Rhinolophus ferrumequinum: one gene and its partner. The protein of the gene in region 1 binds, or shares a complex with, the protein of each later gene. Links are inferred from orthologs where the notes say so. Each region holds a gene or a part of one and is shown on either strand. Other genes may lie near its edges.

What was found. Proteins that work in one complex are often made in the same cells at the same time.
Region 2: HTATSF1 (region 1) and SF3A2 share a complex: the UniProt entries of both Homo sapiens proteins name them as parts of the 17S U2 SnRNP complex. The link is inferred for Rhinolophus ferrumequinum from reciprocal best matches to the Homo sapiens genes HTATSF1 and SF3A2.

The regions. Positions count from the first base shown.
Region 1 is NC_046284.1:19,784,286-19,793,949, reverse strand, and holds the start of HTATSF1 (HIV Tat-specific factor 1), read left to right. Parts: upstream 1-5,813; coding exon 5,814-5,999; intron 6,000-8,280; coding exon 8,281-8,461; intron 8,462-9,116; coding exon 9,117-9,164; intron 9,165-9,631; coding exon 9,632-9,664. UniProt on the Homo sapiens protein: Component of the 17S U2 SnRNP complex of the spliceosome, a large ribonucleoprotein complex that removes introns from transcribed pre-mRNAs.
Region 2 is NC_046301.1:61,017,807-61,027,454, reverse strand, and holds the start of SF3A2 (splicing factor 3A subunit 2), read left to right. Parts: upstream 1-5,555; 5' UTR 5,556-5,709; intron 5,710-8,392; 5' UTR 8,393-8,430; coding exon 8,431-8,556; intron 8,557-9,648. Other genes in the region: PLEKHJ1 (pleckstrin homology domain-containing family J member 1), read right to left, coding at 3,415-3,480, 3,556-3,619, 3,697-3,787, 4,621-4,687, 4,768-4,835, 4,925-5,018. UniProt on the Homo sapiens protein: Component of the 17S U2 SnRNP complex of the spliceosome, a large ribonucleoprotein complex that removes introns from transcribed pre-mRNAs.

The DNA.
Region 1 (9,664 bases):
ACATCTCTTCTGCACTTTTCTTAAAAATAAAGTCCTAAAAAATAACACTTCACAGGTTTTTTTGACTGCCCTTTTCTATTAATCTCTATTCCATTATAACTACAACTGTTCCATTGCAATGAAAATGTTTTGGGATCAGCGAGTATAAAGTAATGAGTAAGGATCAGGGGCAGGGAGCTTGCCTTACTGGGTCAACACTTACGGACTTAATGTAGTTCCACTTACAACTACCATTGACTATTGGGCAATGTTCTCTTTCACAAATATTGTGAAGAACTTGCCTTATTAATAGGCAGAATAAGTGGCCACATCTATGGTGTCACTTGAGGGCCCCAGAAAAGGACCCTTGTTGAAAAATCTGCGAGCCTGCAGCAGTCTGAAATTCTTTCTTTAAGGAAATTCATTTCTTTCTAGTAAGCAGTGCCCTCTTTCTAAAAAATGCAGAAGTACCACATGAAACCCCTAACACCTGGGTGTGCAGTTGTAACCAGATCATGTTCCTGCTTGACTTCATTAAACCCAGTGGGGTGCCTAAGTCCTGTAAGAGTATGACCTAATTAATCCCTGCCCTTGGAAATCAGATGGAAGGTTCTGGTTTCCTATCCTCTGCTCCTACTTGCTAACGCTGTAAGCTTGTTAATAATTGTTATTTCAAACAACTGTTGTCAGTAGTTGTCAGATTGAGATTTGTGGTTTCAGAAGATGTTTTCTTGGGGGCAATTTAATGCATTTGTTTGGCACTAGAGATAGCTAAATTTGTATTTTCAAAAACTTGATTTTGGGGTGTGCTTTGGTAGTTTTGATTGAGCTTTCTTTAAATGGCTTGTGTAGTTGTGAACTTTGCTAATGATGTGGCTCAAAAAGGGGATATATAGTCACACTAGACTACATTTCTGTAAAATTGGTTCACTTAAGTGGGGAGTGCCAATATTATATTAATACTGTTTTAAGTCGGGCATTGTAATAAGCAGGGCAAAACAAATAAATATTAAATAAAGTTTCAAATGACTGCGTAACTTTGTATTCTAAAAACAATACTTCTGACAGCATGTAACTGAGAACCCATTTTAATCCCAAAATTTAAGTTATTTTCAAGTCACAAAGCTCCCAAATATTTTATTATTTTCCTTACTCTGGGTAAAAATTACATCTTTTCTCTCCTAAGGATATAACATTTTAGAGATAACTTGGTAAAAGTACCAGATTACAAGACAGCCTTTTAGCAGTTGATTAAACTAGAGCTCAAAGAACTTTCATTTTCTACATTCTAAGTAATCCTGAAGTGACTTATGGATCCGATATAAACTAATACCCTAATTAGTTTTATAGGGCATCAGCCTCCCATCCAGAATTAAAGAATTGGGATTAAAATTCATAGAATTGTTTTGATTTTTTTAGAGGGAGTGGTCTTTTTTTTAAACAGATTTTCCTTGTCAGGACTAACCTTACAAATAGGCCCCAATATCCACAATTTCTTTCACACTGCCTATTGTTGTACCAGAAATGTTACTACAGAAGTTTGCATTTCTTTGGAGAGGGTCCTCAATATGAAGAGAGTTGGGACACATGAAGAACAAATCTTGTATACTTCTCAATTTTGCTCTGGGTTTGTCCTGATCTACAAGGTCAGACAATTAAGTTCATGAACTCATCCTAGAAAAAGTGCTACATACCTCATTGCTAATATCACTACAGTCACTGTGGGGACAGAGCCAGGAGTGCAGTTTCCAGGCTCTCGGCCTCACGTGGAAAGGTGCTGGCTCAGGTAGTAAATGGCCATCAACTCTGATTGGATGGCCATCAGCTGTGGCTAGTTGGCCGTCAGCTGTAACCAGTGAGCCACTGGCCACTAATATAACTGCCGTGGCTACGCTAGCAGAAAATGGGGGCTAGCAAGAAGATGGTGGCTGAGTTAGCAAGCGCGGATTGCAGTTAGCACGGAGGATTGCAGTTAGCAAGTGGGGTGGGTTGGCAGAGAGAAGTGGACGGCAGGCTGTGGATCATGTGTCTCCTGCTTCCTGTGTCTCCAACCCAGCCTCCAGTGAGACTGTAGTGGTAAGACTCCCCTATCTATGGCTCCGTGGGTGTTCCTTTTTGGCCTCACCATATCCTGCGTTCTTGTGCGCGGAGTGAGAGCTGAGACCCTGCATGATAGTCACCTTCAAAGTACTCCCCCTGGGAAGCTATGCACCGACACCAGCGCCTAGTCCACTCTTCAAAGTAATTTTGGAGCTGTCTTTCTGGAATGGACATCAGAGCTGTCGTTGTATTACCCTTGATGTCCTGAATGTCATCAACGTGTCTTCCTTTCAATATTTCCTTTATCTTCGGGTAAAGAAGTCACCGGGGGCCAGATCAGGTGAGTAGGGAGGGTGTTCCAATACAGTTATTTATTTCCTGGCTAAAAACTCCCTCACAGACAGTGCTGTGTGAGCTGGTGCATTGTCATGATGCAAGAGCCATGAATTATTGGCGAAAAGGAACTTTTTCGCGCGTGCAGCCTTTTCGGCACTTCCAAATAGTACAATTGGTTAACTGTTTGTCCAGTTGGTACAAATTCATAATGAATAATCCCTCTAATATCTAAAAAAGGTTAGCAACATTTTGCAACAAGTTCGCAAACTTAATTGTCAGACCTCATAAGACTGGGAATAATGGACCATAATAATATGCTATAAAGCAGGAAAACAAAGTCACAAACTTAGATACAACCAAAACGTCCAATGGGGAAGTGTTTGTCATTGAAGTTGAAAGTGCCACAAAATATTTAACTGGCATAGCTACTGAAAATAGCAAATTTGGGTTTAAGAATTTCTGCAGTTACGACTTGAGGTCAGGGATCCATCAATCTTTTTGTCAAAAGGAGTTACTTTTCTTTCCACTCAGTCTTGACATTGAAGGAAGTGGGAACAGGAAAATTCCCAAATAGAGTTAGCTTGAATAGGCCATTAAAAAAAATGTCATTTGGTATAGCTCAGTAATTTTCCAGAAAGAGTTCCTAGACCAGGTAGGTGACTTCTCTGGCCAAGAAGTCTTTGCTTTTGTAAGTTAATGTATTTTTATTTACCAGGAAGGTCACGGCCTATCAAGCCAGGAGTACAATACAGATCACCGCTTACAAAGTTCAGAGAGAGAAGAATGAAGAAGATATTCAAAAAGAAGCTGGCTGTCTGGGTTCCAAGACTGGTTCAGCTTACTGGGTCCAGCTGCTCCTGATGTGGCCCATCTACATTCTGGTCCTGGAATTTCAGGAGCTACCCCCTATCTTTATAATAATAAAGGTCCCCTCTGTTTGCTTGTTACCTTAAGTGTTTCTCTGACTTACAAAAGAATCTTGAAAAAGACAGGTTACAAAGACAGAGACGTTTACAGATTACCTCGGGATTACTAGGGAGTTAATTCTATGAATACACAGGGAAATAAGAACAAACAAGAACCAGGCCTCATAGAGACAATAGCATTGTTTAAAAAAACAATTGTCAGGTCTCATGGTAAAATAGAATGCTATTGTAGCTACAAGTGTGCTTAGCTCCCAACTCCACTGTTATGGTGACTCAGTGACCCTCTGTCCATGTCAGGTTCTCCTCTCACCTCTGGGGAACTTCACAGCAGACCTCTGTTCTGCTAGTCACCTTTCCTACGTGGGCCTCCCTGCTTTTGTGCTCCTCTATGTCCCTGTTTGTTCCATACTCATTCCTCACTGGGAGAGGCTCTTATTGGCTCAGTTCATCAAATTCAGTCTAGAAGGCAGGCTTCTGGAAAGCCTTTGGGCCCGGTTGGCTGGGTCACATGGGATGCAGGCATAAGAAACCTTTTTGACTACTTACTAAAAGGGGCCTGCGGATACAGCAGGCACTCAGAGTGTCATATGCAGTAGGGCTGTGTATCATATTATCACTTATGCTGTGAATTCACTCAGGAATTAAATGGGAACCCAATAACACATTGCTGAAAACAGCTGTATACTATTTTTGGATCCAGGAAGAAATATTTAGCAATGCTTAAATGAGCCTAATAAAACTCATGTTATCTATATTATAAACTGCATGCAAGTTCAGTTCTCCACTAGTTCCCAACACAACAAGAACTTCATAAAAAGAAATGTAATTGAAAAAAAACCCAAGATACTATTTAAAAATCATTGTTATGGTGGAAACCATGTTCACAAAGCTGGTGTTTGGGGAGTGAGAATTTTCTAGAACCTTACTCAACTGCTATGTTTAGAAGCAAAGGAAATAGTAGAAATAATTTCTTCTGGGACTCTTTCCCCCACCCTCAAGTCTGGGTTATGAACTTTATGTTTACATATAATGGGTTTATTATTTTAAAGGAATAAATACTTTTAAATGATTGTTTTGTGACAAATACTGATAAGTATAATCTATATAAACAAAAGCTCTTTGAGGTCTTCAGTAACTTTTGAGTGCAAAGGGGTCTTGAGACCAGAAAGTTTGATAACTGCTGCATCCAGTATTTCAATCCTATCATTTCCCAAGTAAGTGTGTCGCCCTTGAGCTGTGCCTGTCTTGTCGACTGCTGTGTAGCCAGAGCTTACCCAGTATAGTGCCCGGCACTTAGCAAGAGCTCAATAAATGTCCGTCCAATTAAAAATTACAGACTTCTCCATTTTCAGTGATGTGCAATTTCTTAAAAAGTTGTTTAGAGGAAAAACATTGTGTCTTTCTAAAAGAAATAAAAAACAACAAAAAAAGTCGGCCAATAAAGCTGGTGTTTACACTTGGATGTTTATGTTTCAGGTTTCGAGCTTGAGCACCTCTGAATCATGAAGTCCAAGAGGCAGGCAACTAACTGCTGCCCTCTCTCCCTTTCCAGAGTCCATCTGCAGCCTGAAGAAGGTACCACAGAGATAAAGGAGGGGGCTGAGGTTTGGAAAAGGTTAGTCCTTCCACTCTTGCTCCTTCGTTCACTCACTCATTCACTCATTCACATCAGACCCCAAGCTAGGAGCTTACGCCACCAAGATGAAACAGATTCGGCGCCTACCCTAAGCAATCAGAGAAAAAGAAGTAAAGACACATTTCCCACGAGGAGGAGGAGCCTTTGTGCAAAGGAGGTGTGGCCTTTTCTCCGCAAGACAAACCTGTTCCGCCTGCCCCATGCACCCCAAGATGGCGGCGCCCCGACTCCCGCCTGCCAGGTGCGAATATTCACACGCCTTAGGGCTGCCGCTCCGCACCAGCCCTGCCCGCCGCGGCTCCTGCACTCCGCGGCTCTCACCGCCCCGAGGCGACCGGCACGGAAACCGGTGCGTGGTAGCCGCGCGCCCCCTAGTGCCCCGCCCCTGGGCCTCGCGCCGCAGGTCCGCGTCGGCGCTTGTTGACGCCATTATGGGCGTGTCGGCGCGACCCGCGACGTCTCGTCGCGCCATCAATGGCGACTGCGTCAGTCTGAGCGGGCCTCCGTTCTCAAGTCGTTGCCGCCGGACCTGCAGTCGCCTCGACCCGGTGGCGGCGGCGGTGGCGGCGCGCGTGCGCGCTCCCGCCGCGCCCTGGATCGAGCGGCGGCGCCGAGGCCTGGCGGGGCGAGCCAGGTGGGCGGCGGCGCAGCAGAACAGGCAGCTTCGGTCCGCGCGCGTGCGCGCGCGCTCGCGGCGAGCGGGCGGGCGGATCGGGGGGCGGTGCGGCCGCTGTGTGGCCCGACCTCCCGGGGGCTGCTGGGGCGCCACGGGGAGGCGCGCCGGGGGGCGGCAGGGCGCGGGCCGAGAGCTGCAGACCTCATTTTCTCTGTTCTCCTCCAGCCTTATCTTTGCCTCTTCGCTCGCCCGGACCCTGCCCCTGAGCTAAGTCAGCAACATGAGCAGCAACAACTTGGATGGGAAGGACGACTTTGATGAGCAATTGAGAATGCAAGAATTGTACGGAGACACCAAGGACGGAGACACCCTGAAAGATCTCGGCGGAGAAACCAATTCTATCGTGCAGCAGCCAAGTGACACCCCCTACGAGTGGGACCTGGACAAGAAGGCTTGGTTCCCCAAGGTAGGAGTGTGTTACCACCGGTGCCACTGCAGAGCGGGCCCGCCTTGCGGGGCGCTCCTTGTACGTTTTCTTTGCGAGGTCCTGAGTTGGAGCCCCTACGGATAGTGACGCTTTTGTTGTTGTTGGGTCTGTTGCAGAACCAGTGTGTAAAGGAACATATATCTTTAGGGAGATGTCTTAAATGTAATTTAATTCTTAATTTTTTTTCTATGCCTTATTAATTTTATCTGTGAAGGTCACAATTGGTTATTACACTGGTGACTGCTTTTTATTGCAAAAAGGAAAAACACCAAGAGCAAACTTAGTCGCTGTTACTCTCAGGGAGCCAACGTCACTTATCCTAGAAATTCAGGTGTTTAGCTTGTATACTACGTACAAATGCAGCTTCTTGATTAAAAAAAAAACACCTAGCCATTTGTATATCTTTACTGATTGAACTTTGTTTGCACCTCTACTTTCTATTAAATTTTGTCCCTAGACACACTCACTGCTTGAGTCAAAAGTTATACACAGGTGTTCCACTGCGAGGGGGATCAGCGTCCCTAACCCCTGTGTTGTTCAAGGGTCAACCGTATTTCACTTCTGTAGTGGTAGTGCCAGCTAGGGTGCAGATTTGGTTTCTTCAGCCTTCTGAGTACTTTTAACAATAGTCTGATAATAGATTCATTTGCGACTTACCTTTTTATGTTAGGGAGGCTGAGGAATAGGACTAGAGATGCACAGAATATATGGTTGGAGAAGATCTGTGAATATTTATTTAGAGTACTTGGAGAAATCGTTAAGTATTTTATTTCAGCTTGGAAGTAAAATAACTGGTGTTAAACCTGGTTCTGTAAACTTTTCCGTAAAAGTACCCTGTTAATCAAAATCTCATATGGGTGGAAAAAAAGGATACCAATAGCACACTAATTGACTTTCAAGCCTGTAATAACAAACCCTGTCTCCATTGTGTAATTTGTTACTTTAAAAATTATTTATTTCAACTTCTTTCTTTCCTATTGTGTGTGTGTGTGTGTGTTGCATTCCTTCCAAATTTTTACATTTGCCACAGTTGACCCTTTAACAACATGGGTTTGAACTGCGTGGGTCCACTTATACACAGATTTTTTTCATCTTGTATGCAGATAACATAAACTTATGGTATCGATAAATATAGTACAGTACTGTGACTGTATTTTGTCTTACGATTTTCTTAATAACATTTTTTATCCTCTAGGTACTTTATTGTTAGGATACAGTATATAATACATACACAAACTATGTGTTAATTGACAATGTTATCAGTAAGGCTTCTGGTCAACAGTAGGCTATTAGTAAAGTTTTGGGGAGTCAAAAGTTATACACAGATTTTCGTCGGAGTGAGGGGTTTGGCATCCGTAACCCCTGTGTTGTTCAGGGGTCAGCTGTATTTCACTTCTGTACTGGTAGTGCCAGCTAGGGTGCAGATTTGGTTTCTTCAGCCTTCTGAGTACTTTAACAATAGTCTGATAATAGGTTCATTTGTGACTTACCTTTTAGTGTCATGGAGGCTCAGACCTCTTCAAACTTTGAGTTTAAATTTTTCCCATTCCTGTGTGTGTCTAACATTGATTGGTATGAAGATATAACTACATTTCTTTCATTGTGCAATCGTGCTTTTTTCTCCAAAAGCCAGGAGGATAGATGTGAGTTGGATTTGTTCTTAATTTGTTATGACACTAAATGAGAATGTGATTTAATTCACGATAAAGTTAAAACAAGCATTTTGTTTAACTATTGTTGGCCTCATTCTTTATACACCAAATCAAAGTTCCATTCTGTGTGCTCTTTGCATGCAGATATTTAAATATTTAATGTACATACACTTTGTGCATCTATATCGTTAAAGAAAAAAATGATTCTGTTGTTAGATTACTAGTTGACTATAGTTTTTGTTCTGTTTTGTTATCTGGTACTTCCTTTGTTATATGTACTTGTAGCCTTCATCAAGTAGACTGCGGAGAGGTAGTAATTTATAAATGAAACAACTAGAAAATATGCCAGTATCATTTAAAATGCCTTGATAGTAGCTCAGACTTTTGTGTTGATAATCCAAGTACCCGTGTCTGTCTTATTTTTTGAATCATTGTATGCACACTTTTGTATATAAGGTGACTATTCTTCCATTTACACTTTATTACTACAACTATTACCCACTTCTGTATTAAGTTGTATAACTGCATATGCAGTAATTTAACACAGTGTAAACTTTTTGCAGGAGGAAATCATTTTTGAATTTATGTGTGTTGAATTTCTTGTTCAGATAACTGAAGACTTCATTGCTACATATCAGGCCAATTATGGCTTTTCTAATGATGGTGCGTCTAGTTCTACTGCAAATGTGCAGGATGTCAGTGCTAGGCCTGCAGAGGAACCGCCACAAAGAAACACCCCTGAACCCACTGAGTCCAAAAAGAGGGGAGAAAAGAGAAAGGCTGACTCAGGTAAGTGGATTTAGCTTGCAAAACATGAGTGTAAAAATTTTTTAAATGTGAGTGTGTGTGTGTGTGTACAGTTACTTTTTGGAGAATTATAATGGCTTTGAAGGAATCATAGAGATGAGTGTTTTAAATTATTACTTGGGTTCATATGTTGGCTTTCACACTAACTTATTGTGGGCATTGCGTTGGCTGTTTCAGTTTTATGCCTCAGTTGCTTCCTTTGCAAAATAGAGCTATTGTTGGGGTATTGTCAAAAGTTCTGTTTGTAAGGTTATTTTCTTGTACTTTTTGAGTTTAATTAAATTGAACTCATATCAGTTTTGCTTCAGCTTGGCCCTGTCTAACACAGTAGATTGGAGTTGGAAGCAGTTAAATGCCAAGGCCTAAATTCAGTGCAAGGAGGAGTTTTTTTAAGGTAGGATCGGAATCATAACCAAGATAAACCCTCTTTTTTCAGAAAGGGCTCTGAAGCTAATTATCTGTTAAAAGATCCAAATACTTTGAAAGCTGCACAGTGGTTTGAGTTAGTCTGTCTTGTTCTAAGGGTAAGAAAAAGTTCCTGAAAGTTTGGAGAAACTGCCACATTGTCAAGATTTCATGATGTGACTTTTACCTTTTCTTGCATGTGTTTTATTTATTTATTCATTTTGATTTTTAGGATGGTTTCATGTTGAAGAAGACAGAAATACAAATGTATATGTGTCTGGTATGTATACCTTTTTAATACAAATTTAGAGTAGAAAATATTTGATTTTGATATTTTTCATAAAGTAATTTTTAGTTTTCAGTTTCTCTAAAGTCTGTTTTTTATTGTGTCATTCTTTGTTCAACTGTTCACATCAGGGAGGAATGTGTTGTTTATTGCAAAACTAAGAAAAATTAAGTGTATGTAACTTTGCACGCCATCCTTTTTGTCTGCTTTAGGTAACTTGTGGTAATTTATCCCTCAGATTCATTGATACAAGTCCTAGGCAAAGAATTTTAAATGTATGTTTGAATACATTAAAACACGAAATTTCCTCAATTCTACAGATGTGAGATTTTTACATACATTTAGAAAATCAAAACTGCTCATCGAAGTTGTAGCTTTCTAATTGGTAGAATGCTAAGTAACCCTCACCTTTATTTAGATGCTTTTATAAGTTTTCATATTTATTTTTCCTAATGTTACAGGTTTGCCTCCAGACATTACAGTGGATGAATTTA
Region 2 (9,648 bases), on another chromosome or scaffold:
GGCTCCAGCGTGTACTGTTGATAGTTTTAGATAAAGTATTTATCGTTTTTTAAAAAGTATAAACAATTTTGACTTATTTTATTCCACCGAAGTCATAAAGGCAACCTATTGAGAAATGTAAATACTATATATGAGAGGATCTATATAAAGACCTGGACCCAACGGACTGGCCGCCCGCGGAGACCCCGACAGCCGGCCCGGTGCTATCTCACCGCCAGGCCTCGCCGCCTCCACGTTCTCTTGGTGCTGACTCGAGGTTGACCAACGCCAAAACCAGTGCTTGCTGCGCCCGCCCCGCCATCCTGCGCTCTCCCGTACCAAAGGCACGCCTGTCTTCAGGTCAAGGGTGGTTTGCTCGCTTTCTGACGTCCCTCAGAAAAGCCCCTCTCCCCCATCACTGTGAACACTCCCGGCCAGACTGTCAGCCCTGGATCCTGGGACGGCTCCTTTGGTGTGGGGACGCGGGCGGTCGGCGGGCTCCCTGATGCTACAGGAGGAGGCCGCTGTGAATGGTGCTTGGTGGGGGGGGGGGTCTGGTACCTGTCGTCGTCGCGTGTGTCACGGAGCTGCTGGGAAACAAGTGCTTTACTTTGTACGTGCTATCTTAGTCTTGGGCTCATGCAGCCCAGCAAGGTGTGTGGCCGCCGGCCGGGGCATGTGGCAGGTCAGCCGTGGGTGCCTGGTGTGTCTGTACAGAAGAGAGTCACGCTGACGAGTGACAGTATTTTATAGAGATGTGATGAAAATTTATAAATTTCATAGACTTGACTTTGTTTATTTTTAGATCGTATAATGCACAGTAAACTTAAAAGGGAGAAAGAAAAGTGAGGGGGGAAACCTTTTTATTTATTCAAGTGCACACAAGTGGCGTTGGCCCAGGGCCGAACACCCCTTGTCCCTCTTCTCAGCCTGTGCCACTGCTCCATGTCTCCACTGGCCCTCCAACCCCGCAGCTGGGGTGACACCTGCCCCCACTGGAGTAGCCTCCATGGTGCTTGGGAACCAGTTCCCCGGGGTGGGCTGGCAGGGCAGAGGCGGGCTTCGCAGGAAGGCAGGAGAGCTGTTGCCGATGCTTCCAGAGGCTGCCAGTAGGGTTCTCGGCTCCCTCCAGCGCAGCTGTCTGTGACTAGTTCTGGATCCTGTGTTGTCTGCAGAGTCCCTGAAAGGGCGAGTCCAGAAGCCCTCAGGACCCCATTGTGGGAGCTCCAGAAAGGGTTAGGAGCAGGTGCAGTCAGAGCTCTGGCCTCAGGTGCTTTACCCCAGGAGGTAGCACCCCCCCAAGGAACAAAGAAGTCCTTTTTCTAAAGGTGGGGCTGTGCAAAGGGATTTGACCTGTTCCTGGAGAAAAGGCCTGAGCCCCGCCTTCCCCAGCCTGGCCAGCAGGGCCTTCTGCCAGGTCCCTGCATCCTGATCCCTAGGGGCAAGACAGGCCTTGGCAGATGGGAGGAGGGGGTGGGGGGCTGGAGTGGGGGGGCCTGGGAGAGCCCTGCCTCCTGTGTGCCCTGGGGTGGTGCCTGGCCCAGAGCAAATCCAGGCTGAAGATGGTGCTCGGTCAGGTTCTTGGAACCGGCTGCCCTGTAACTGCTGCCCTGGCTCCCTTCCCTGCCGGTCAGTGCACGAAGGTGCTGTGCTCACCCCAAACCCCATGTCCCCCCCTCCCTTGTCAGGAGCACAGGGCCCCCTAAAAAGCTGCAAGGCTGACAGTAGCAAAGTCACAGCACGTGGCGAGTCCCTGGTCTGGAACTAAGCAACCGTTCTCAACAGTGCTTCTCTTCCGGACGACTGGGGTCCTTGTGTGGACTTCATACTGACATGCCATATCTGCCCCACAGCAGTTAGCACTGGGGGTCTCCGTCTGTGCCCGCCCTCAGCCCCTAGGCCCTCCTGACCAGGAGATCGATCGGCCACTATTGGCTGCCAGGGAGGGGAGGCCGCATGGCCCTATGGGGAGCGGGTTCTGGTCTCTGTGCAGAGACCCTGTGCTGCTGTGACTGTGGGCAACTTCAGGGAAGCCCAGGGCTGCGAGGGCGCTTTGCTCAGGAAACCTAAGTCGGACGACCCTCCCAGTCAGGAGGAGCCAGCCTTCCCTTCCAGCTATGACTCGTGACTTATTTAAGACCCACTCACCCCTTTATTTATCCGCGCCGTCTGCAGTAGGAGATTTGTTTTCTTGTCCTTTTACCACCACCCGCCACCCCCGCCATCATTCCCATTCAGTCTCAACCTTGACTATTAACTCAGATAGGGCCCTGCCTGCTTTGTGGTTCTGGTAGACTGTCTCAGTTGGGGCGCTGGCGTGGCCTTCTTTCCCTACGGGAATCCCACTGCACTCTGATTTCCATCTCTAGACTGTAATAAAAGACTTGTTTTCACTTGAACCTGGTCTGCTGGCATTTCTTCCTGGTTACCACAGTGAGACCTTAGCCTTGAGGGCCCAAGTGCAGAGGACGGTCACTCCCAACAGGCCCACAGTGCTCCTGAAAGCAGCCGCTGTGACTAGCAGACTGCAAGTGCCCACCTCAGGGAGGCCCAGCCCCTGCAGGGCTTATACCTGACGAGGTCCAGCACCCCAAGGACGGCCCTTTTGATGAACTAAAACCAACCAACTGCGACTCGGACGTGGGCAGAACCCTTTCTGAGGTCCCACGTGCACCCAAGGGAAAGCCCTGTGACGATGGGTGGGATCACGGGCCACCTGAGGATCCCATCACACCCCCGCCTCCATCCTACCTTAGGGCCTGTGAGCACCAGAGGCCCCAGGGGCCAGCCTCCCTGACTTGCCAGGCTCTGGGTTCTGGGTCTCCTCCCCTCTATTTGGGCAGCCCAGCCCCTTCTTCCCAGGCACTTAAACCTCAGGCCTGGAAAGGACCTGTCCCCCAGGAGCCTTACTTCCCTCAGGGGCCAGCTCCAACGGCCTGGGACCACCAGCCTGTGGAGGATCCATGTTCCTCTCTGCATTCACTGCACCACCAACCCATGTGGAAAAAAGAGGTACCTTTATTTGAACAGAATAGGCACACGGGCCCAAGGGCAAAAGCTCCCAGCTCTGCCCAGCGGCCTCCAGCCAGGGCCGGCCCTCGCCCTCAGCAGGACAGTTCACAGCCCCGTGCCCTTCACAGCATCGTCCAGCTTCATGCATTCAGCCTGCACAGAGCAGGAGCTTCGGGCCTCCCTCGCCAGGCCCTGGAGGGATGTGCCCGCGGGGCCAGACACAACACTCCCCGGCAGCAGCATGTGGCACCAAGAGGTGCCGGACCAGTCTGGTGGGTCCCAAGGCACAGCCCCTGCCCACTCTCAGCAGCCTGGGGCCTCTGGAGTCTTGAAGCCGAAACACCTCACTCCATAAATCCAGGTCCCTGGGAGGGGGGGGGGGGCTCCTCAAAACTGGTGAGTGTGAGGAGCCTGATCGTGGACTCATGCCTTCAAGCCACTCAGCTGGAACCGGGCCTCTTCCGATATGCCGAACTGCTCCAGGGGGTCCTGTGGGGTGGACAGCATAGCGTGAGCCCCAGGCCACGAGCCACCCCCGTCCCGAGCCGTGTGCCCCATGCCCACCTTGCCGGTCATCTTCTGGATCTCATTCCTATAGAAGATGAGGCTCCGGCGCATGAACTCGTAGCTGGAGAAGAAAGTGGCCTGTGTTCACAGGGCTGGCTCTACCTCCACCCCAGGCCCCCTGGGCCGCCCATGCCCCACCTGGCTCGACGAAGAGCCCCCATCCACTCCTGACACTGCTCCTCGCTACAGCACTCAAAGTGGTACTTCCTCTCCGGGTCCTCGATGAAGCCTGCAGAGGGAGGGGCCCCGTGTGTCCCTGCTCACTCCCACCCCCACCAACCACAGGCTTCAGCTGTCTGTTGCCACTGTCCACAACTGTCCCCTCCAGCCCAGGCTCCTCGCTTCCCACCGGCTGTGGGTTGACCTGTGTCCCCCAAAAGGGTAGGTTCAAGGCCTAGCTCCCAGAATCTGGGAACAGGGTCATTGCAGATTAATTAAGGTGAGGTCATGCTGGAGTGCGGTGGACTCCTAATCCAATAGGATTGGTGTCCTTACAAAAAGGGGGAATTGACAGACACACAGGGAAAAGGCCAAGAAGACGATGGACGCAGAGCGGGGTGATGCGTCTACAAGCCAAAGAATGCCAGAAGCTGCCAAGCCTCCAGAAACTGGGAGAGCCTGGGACAAATTATCCTCAGAATTAACCAGTCCTACCGACACCCCAACCTGAACTTCTGCCCTCAAGCAGTGAGAGAAGTAAGTTTCTGCTGTTGAAGCCCCCCCCCCCCCCCCGTCTGTGGCAGCCCCAGGACACTAGAAGTTCCGGCCTTCCCTGAAAACTCCATCCTCTCAAAGAGACCCAGAAGAATCCTCCGGGGTCCCATGCACAAAGCCCGGCACTGAAAATGGGTAAATACAGCAAGCATTGACCCGAGGGCTATGCTCCCCAAGAGAAGACAAAGCCCTTGTGGCCTTGCGGTGGCAGCTAGGGAGGGGCTGGGACGGATGCGCACAGCCTGCACCACAGGGAAGGAGCCCAGCCCTGAACTTTGTTCCTGGGAAGGGACGGGGCAGGGCGGAGTTGGGGGTCATGGCCGGCCTGGCCCCACCCCCCGCACTCACTGATGGAGAAGCCGCTGGGCTCTTCCTGGGTGATTCTGCAGTGCTCCAGCAGCAGGGCTCCAACGGGCTGGGGGCAGACGGGGCGAATGGGCGGGCCACCCTAGGACCCCAGCCCCCAGCCCGGGACCCGCCTCCCCGCCGCCCTACCTCTGCCTCATCCGTCCGGAAGTAGAAGAGGAAATTAACCACCAGCTTCACCAGTCGTCGCTTCACCACTGCGGACACAGGGCGGGCTCGCGAGGGCTGGCGGCCGCCCAACCCGCCGCTGCCCGCCCGCCCCGACCCTCGGCCCTGGCCTGCTCACCGCTGCCCTTCTTGGGACCCCGCATGCCCAGCTCGGCCGCCAGCTCGGCCGGCTGCCTGGACAGCGCCTGCAGCTCCTTCTCGTTGTAGCGCATGGCGCCCCGAGGCCCAGAACGTAGAGTACCGGCCGCGCCCTACCGGCCGTTGTCCCCGCTCACGCCAAAAATGTCCCAGGGCACGTCCCGGAAGTTCTCCCAGAGCTACTGCGCCGGCGCGCCCCAGGGCTGCCCATCCTGTCAATCACCGGCGAAGGGCGCTGGCGTCCCGGGGGCAGCAGAGATCGAGTGGAGCCCTCGTGGGGCCCACGGGAAAGTCAAAGACAGACTGTTATATGTATCATGCAGTGTTAGGCCCAGGATAGAAAAAATAAAACACCCCTACGACCCGTGGCACCCAAATGGGCAAGAATAGGCGGAAGGTCTGGGTACAAGTCGCTGCCCTCCTTCCCGCGAGAACTGGGTCCTGCGAGTAAAACCGACCGAGAGGTCATTGAGAGCCTGTTGGGCATGCGCACTTCAGCTTCCAGCCTGCACGGAGTCCCGCTCCCTTTCCTGGCACCTACAGAGCTGCTCATTCGCGCTATCGGCTGGGCCGGACATGCGCACATGGGAGGCCCGCCCCGTTTGCCCCGGAAGTGCATTCTTAGCCCGCGGGGCGCGTTCGCGGGACGAAGTCGTGGCGGCAGTGGAGACTGAAAAGGCAACGGGATCGCTGCATCCGGTGCAGGTGTAAAGCGGAGCGAGAGCGGCGGCCCCGGAGCCCGGAGTTCCCTAGGAGATAGCAGACGTGAGCGAGGGGCGCCTGCGACGGGGGCGCAGGCTGAGGGCGGGCCGCCGCGTCGCCTCCTCCCCGGGGAATGACGGGCCTCTGGGTCCCCGGAGCCCTCCGCTCGCTTGGGATTCTCCAAAGACCCATTGGGATTGGGTCGGGGTAGCAGCTCGCATGGCGCCTTCCGTGTAACCGAGGACCCCTCCGAGCATTAATTTGCATCCGTTAGTTGACAGACTCTGTGGTACGGGAGTCACTCGGTTCCTCTTCGCCTCAGTTTCTGTAACTGGAATGGGGGTAACAGCGATCGCCAGTTCCAGGGCAACTAAATAATACATAAGGTCCTGGAGTAGAGTGCCCAGCGCCGTGCCGAAGGCCACCAGAGCCAGTTAGCTGGCTGCATTTCGCCAGCGAAGCCCCGAGGTTAAATGACTTTCCACCACTCATACTGCTATGCGCGGTCGGCTTCTTTCTTCTACCCATTGGCCTTGCAGAACGTGCGAGAGGAGCTCCCGATAATAAACTGTCTGCCAGGTTTAAGGAGATAATAGTATGTTCATCAAAAGCTGGCATTCATCCCTGCTCGGTCCTCTGCCCCGGAGGCCGCCTCTGCTCAATTTTTAAAGCCGTCTTTATCTCCGTAAACATTCTTTCTGGATGTGCTGGTGTCAGACGCGACCTGCTGATTTCTTACGTGATTGATGAGGTCGTATTTCTGCCTCCCACCCACTCCCACTTCACCCTCCTACCCTGGATGCGTTTATATATCGCAAGCTTTAGTCAAATTATTAGTTCTGTTTTCTGAGACTGAAAGTATCCTTCGTGGCTAAGGCAAGTAACAAGTTCATCTGTGCGGCTTTTCCTGTACTGTTCTCCCCCAACCACTACCCCGAAGCTAATGAATGTTTTCATTTTTCCTGTTACCCTGATTTTCTTTTCCTCCTGTTAATTTTTCCTCAAAGTTCCATCACCTCAAACGGTGATAGACTGTATTTTTCCACAGGTTTAGAGGACTTGGTCCTTTTTTTAAAAAAAAATTCCGCCATAGAAATGTCTCTCCCAAATGCTGACATACTCCTGCTTCACTTTGTTCTGGTTGCTCACCTTACAGAGAAGCAGTTGTCCTAGAACGTTCTGTCAGTGCTCTCGGGTTGGCTTGTTTCCAGTCTGACTATCTCCTCTTCCTCCTATCGGCCCATCAATCGCAGGGTAGCTTTTGAAGAAATTGATTGATGGACTGATTGATTGATTTTGAGCCCTTTGAGTCCTGAAAATGGCTTTATTTACTTACACTCACAGTTCGGATATAAAATGAAAACTCGGGGTTAAAAATCTACGTTGAGAACTGTGGGAGTATTGCTTCTCTTACATGCTCAGTTCTGAGAGCTCTGGCCCCATTCTGCTTTCTAACCTTTCGCTTCTGATCTTCTGTTTGTGCAAATGGAAGATTTTCCTCATTGGTGTGCAGTTTCATGATCCATTTATTGAGAGTCTTTTTGTTTCTATTGCAAGGAATAGGTCCTTTCAGCCCTGGGGCATTTTCTTTCAGTGTTTTGATAATGCTTTTGTGTTAGCTCTCTGATAATATTTATTTCTTTGATAAGACTCTCTGTGTTTCTGTCTGTTTTCACTCTGGAATTTCATCAAGGTTCTTGCACTGCCTCATATGTTTTCCTTTTTCTCTTGTTTTCCTTATGAGATATGTCTTTGACTCTTACCTCCGAGCCCTCATATTCAATTTTTTGTTTGGATCACCCTGTCTTCTTTCCCAGGGTTCGTTGCGGTTTTAATTCACTGTGCTAACCCTTGGCAAGGTGTTGGCACCGTCTATTGAGGTTTCCATCAGGTTTATTTTTTTCTCAGCTGTATAGAGATTCTTTTTGTCTGTTACGTGAAGTTGCCACCTCTGTGTGTGAGAGCTGTCTGTGCTTCTCATCTGATGGGTCTCACTGCTCAGTTGGCCTGGCAGGGAGCTGGTATTTTATTTGGGGCACGAGGGACCCCTACTGTCAGTGTCTGAGAATACTTTCCCTGGCGCTCCTTCCCCAGAAAAGTCTCCTGAAGTCCTCCCTAAGCTGGGGGCCTCTGACCGGGGCCACCTGCCTTTGGACATGGTGCAGGGAAGGGCAGACTGCCTGCTGGTCAGTGGGCAGCTTTTGATGAAATCCCCTCTTCAACCTGGCCCTCACCCACAGCCTCTCTGTGCCTGGCTCCCAGGCCAGAGGCCCCTCATTCCAGTTCTTAGAATCAAACTGATCTGCCCAGGAGCCCAGATACCTGTGGAAAGACCTTCATCCCAGGCTGTGAGCTCTCAGTTCATTTGGGGTGGGGGTGCTGCTAGGGGAGGAGGGACAACACGGGAGCAATGGGCTTTGAGTAACCAGCAGTTTTGGTTTCCAGTGGTTACTGGTTTTGCCCTGATTGGTGAGCGGTTGAGTATTTATGTGGGCTTAGATTTCCCTAAGTCAATCATATTGTCTGGACAGGGGCTTTTCCCAACCCCGGCCAGCCACTGGCAACATAGGAGCTTATTCTGGCCATTTAGGATGGAGGGATGACGGGATGGGGGGGGGGTGGCAGGAGTGCGGGGTGAGAGACAAACATTGGGGGGCATGGTCTCCTTGCCTGCCCGTCCACCAATCCCGGGGAGGCCCCAGTGACAGCCACCAGGTTCTCACTGCCTCTCCCCTTTGCTCTCCAGGTTTCTCCCCAGTCCAATAAAACCCCAAGGCCCTCACCATGGACTTCCAGCATCGCCCCGGGGGCAAGACCGGGAGTGGAGGGGTGGCCTCCTCCTCGGAGAGCAACCGGGACCGCAGGGAGCGTCTCCGGCAGCTGGCTCTGGAGACCATTGACATAAACAAGGTGAGGTAGGGCTGGAGGGGGCTCCCCACAGCCTCCTTTCTTCCCGGGGACCCGTGGTCCCGACATCACACCGCTACCCTTGAGCAACCACCCAGCTCTCTGGGCCTCGGCTTCCTCACCTGTAAACGGGGGACTTGGGCCGGAGCAGCAGGTCCCCCCTGCCCGCCCAGGGCCGCCTGCTATCAGTGACCCCATGTGTTTACGGGTTTTCTCTGTGTAAGGGGTTTGGTTTTGTTTAATTACCCAGCGGCGTAGAGAAGCAGTGGTGAGGGCCATGATGGCGTCATATAGATTGGTACCATTCCAGCCACAGGCAGCGAAGGGCAGCATGTTCGTTCCGCTGCACAGAGCCGTTGGTAGACCAGGTCTCCCCCTGGCACTGCTGAGGGCCGTCCTGGGCACTGTGGGTGCTGAGCAGCATCCCTGCCCCCACCCACTCGATGCCAGGAGCACCCCCAGTGTGACCACCACAGATGTTCTGAGTGGCCCAGGTGAGAGCCCAGCGGTCAGTATATGGCTCCCTTAGACTTTGAAACCCTCTGAGGTGTGTGGGGCCTGTGCCTGTGAGGTCGGTTCTATTACTGTCCCCATTTTGCAGGTGAGGAAACAGTCGTGCGGAGGGAGGGGTCAGCATTGCCCAAGATGACACAGCCGCTGGCCAGTGGAGTTAGGGTTTGAACCCTGCCAGTCTGCACCACGCCTGCCCCCACTGCCTTGGTTTATGGCCAGTCAGCTGTCCAGCGCACAGCACTTGCAGAGACATGGGTCTCCGTGGTCTTTCCCTTAACGCGCTTACTTATCCAGCTTGTGCTGGGACACTTGGAAGACTGGCAGGGTTTGCTGCCAGATCCAGGCCGAGGAGCTGACCAGCAGTGCTGTTTGGGCTCTGCCTCCTTCTAGATCCCAAACTGCCACAAATATGTGGCCAGGGACTCCCCGGAGATGCCCACTGCTAGAGTGGGGGCCAGGGACCAGCAGTGTCTACCCCAGCCCTGCCAAGTGGACCCCATCTCCACAGGGCCCCAGGTGGTCCTGCAGTGCTGCCCTGGGAGACACCTGCCGGGACAGCCTCAGGCTTCTCCTAGCCCTCCA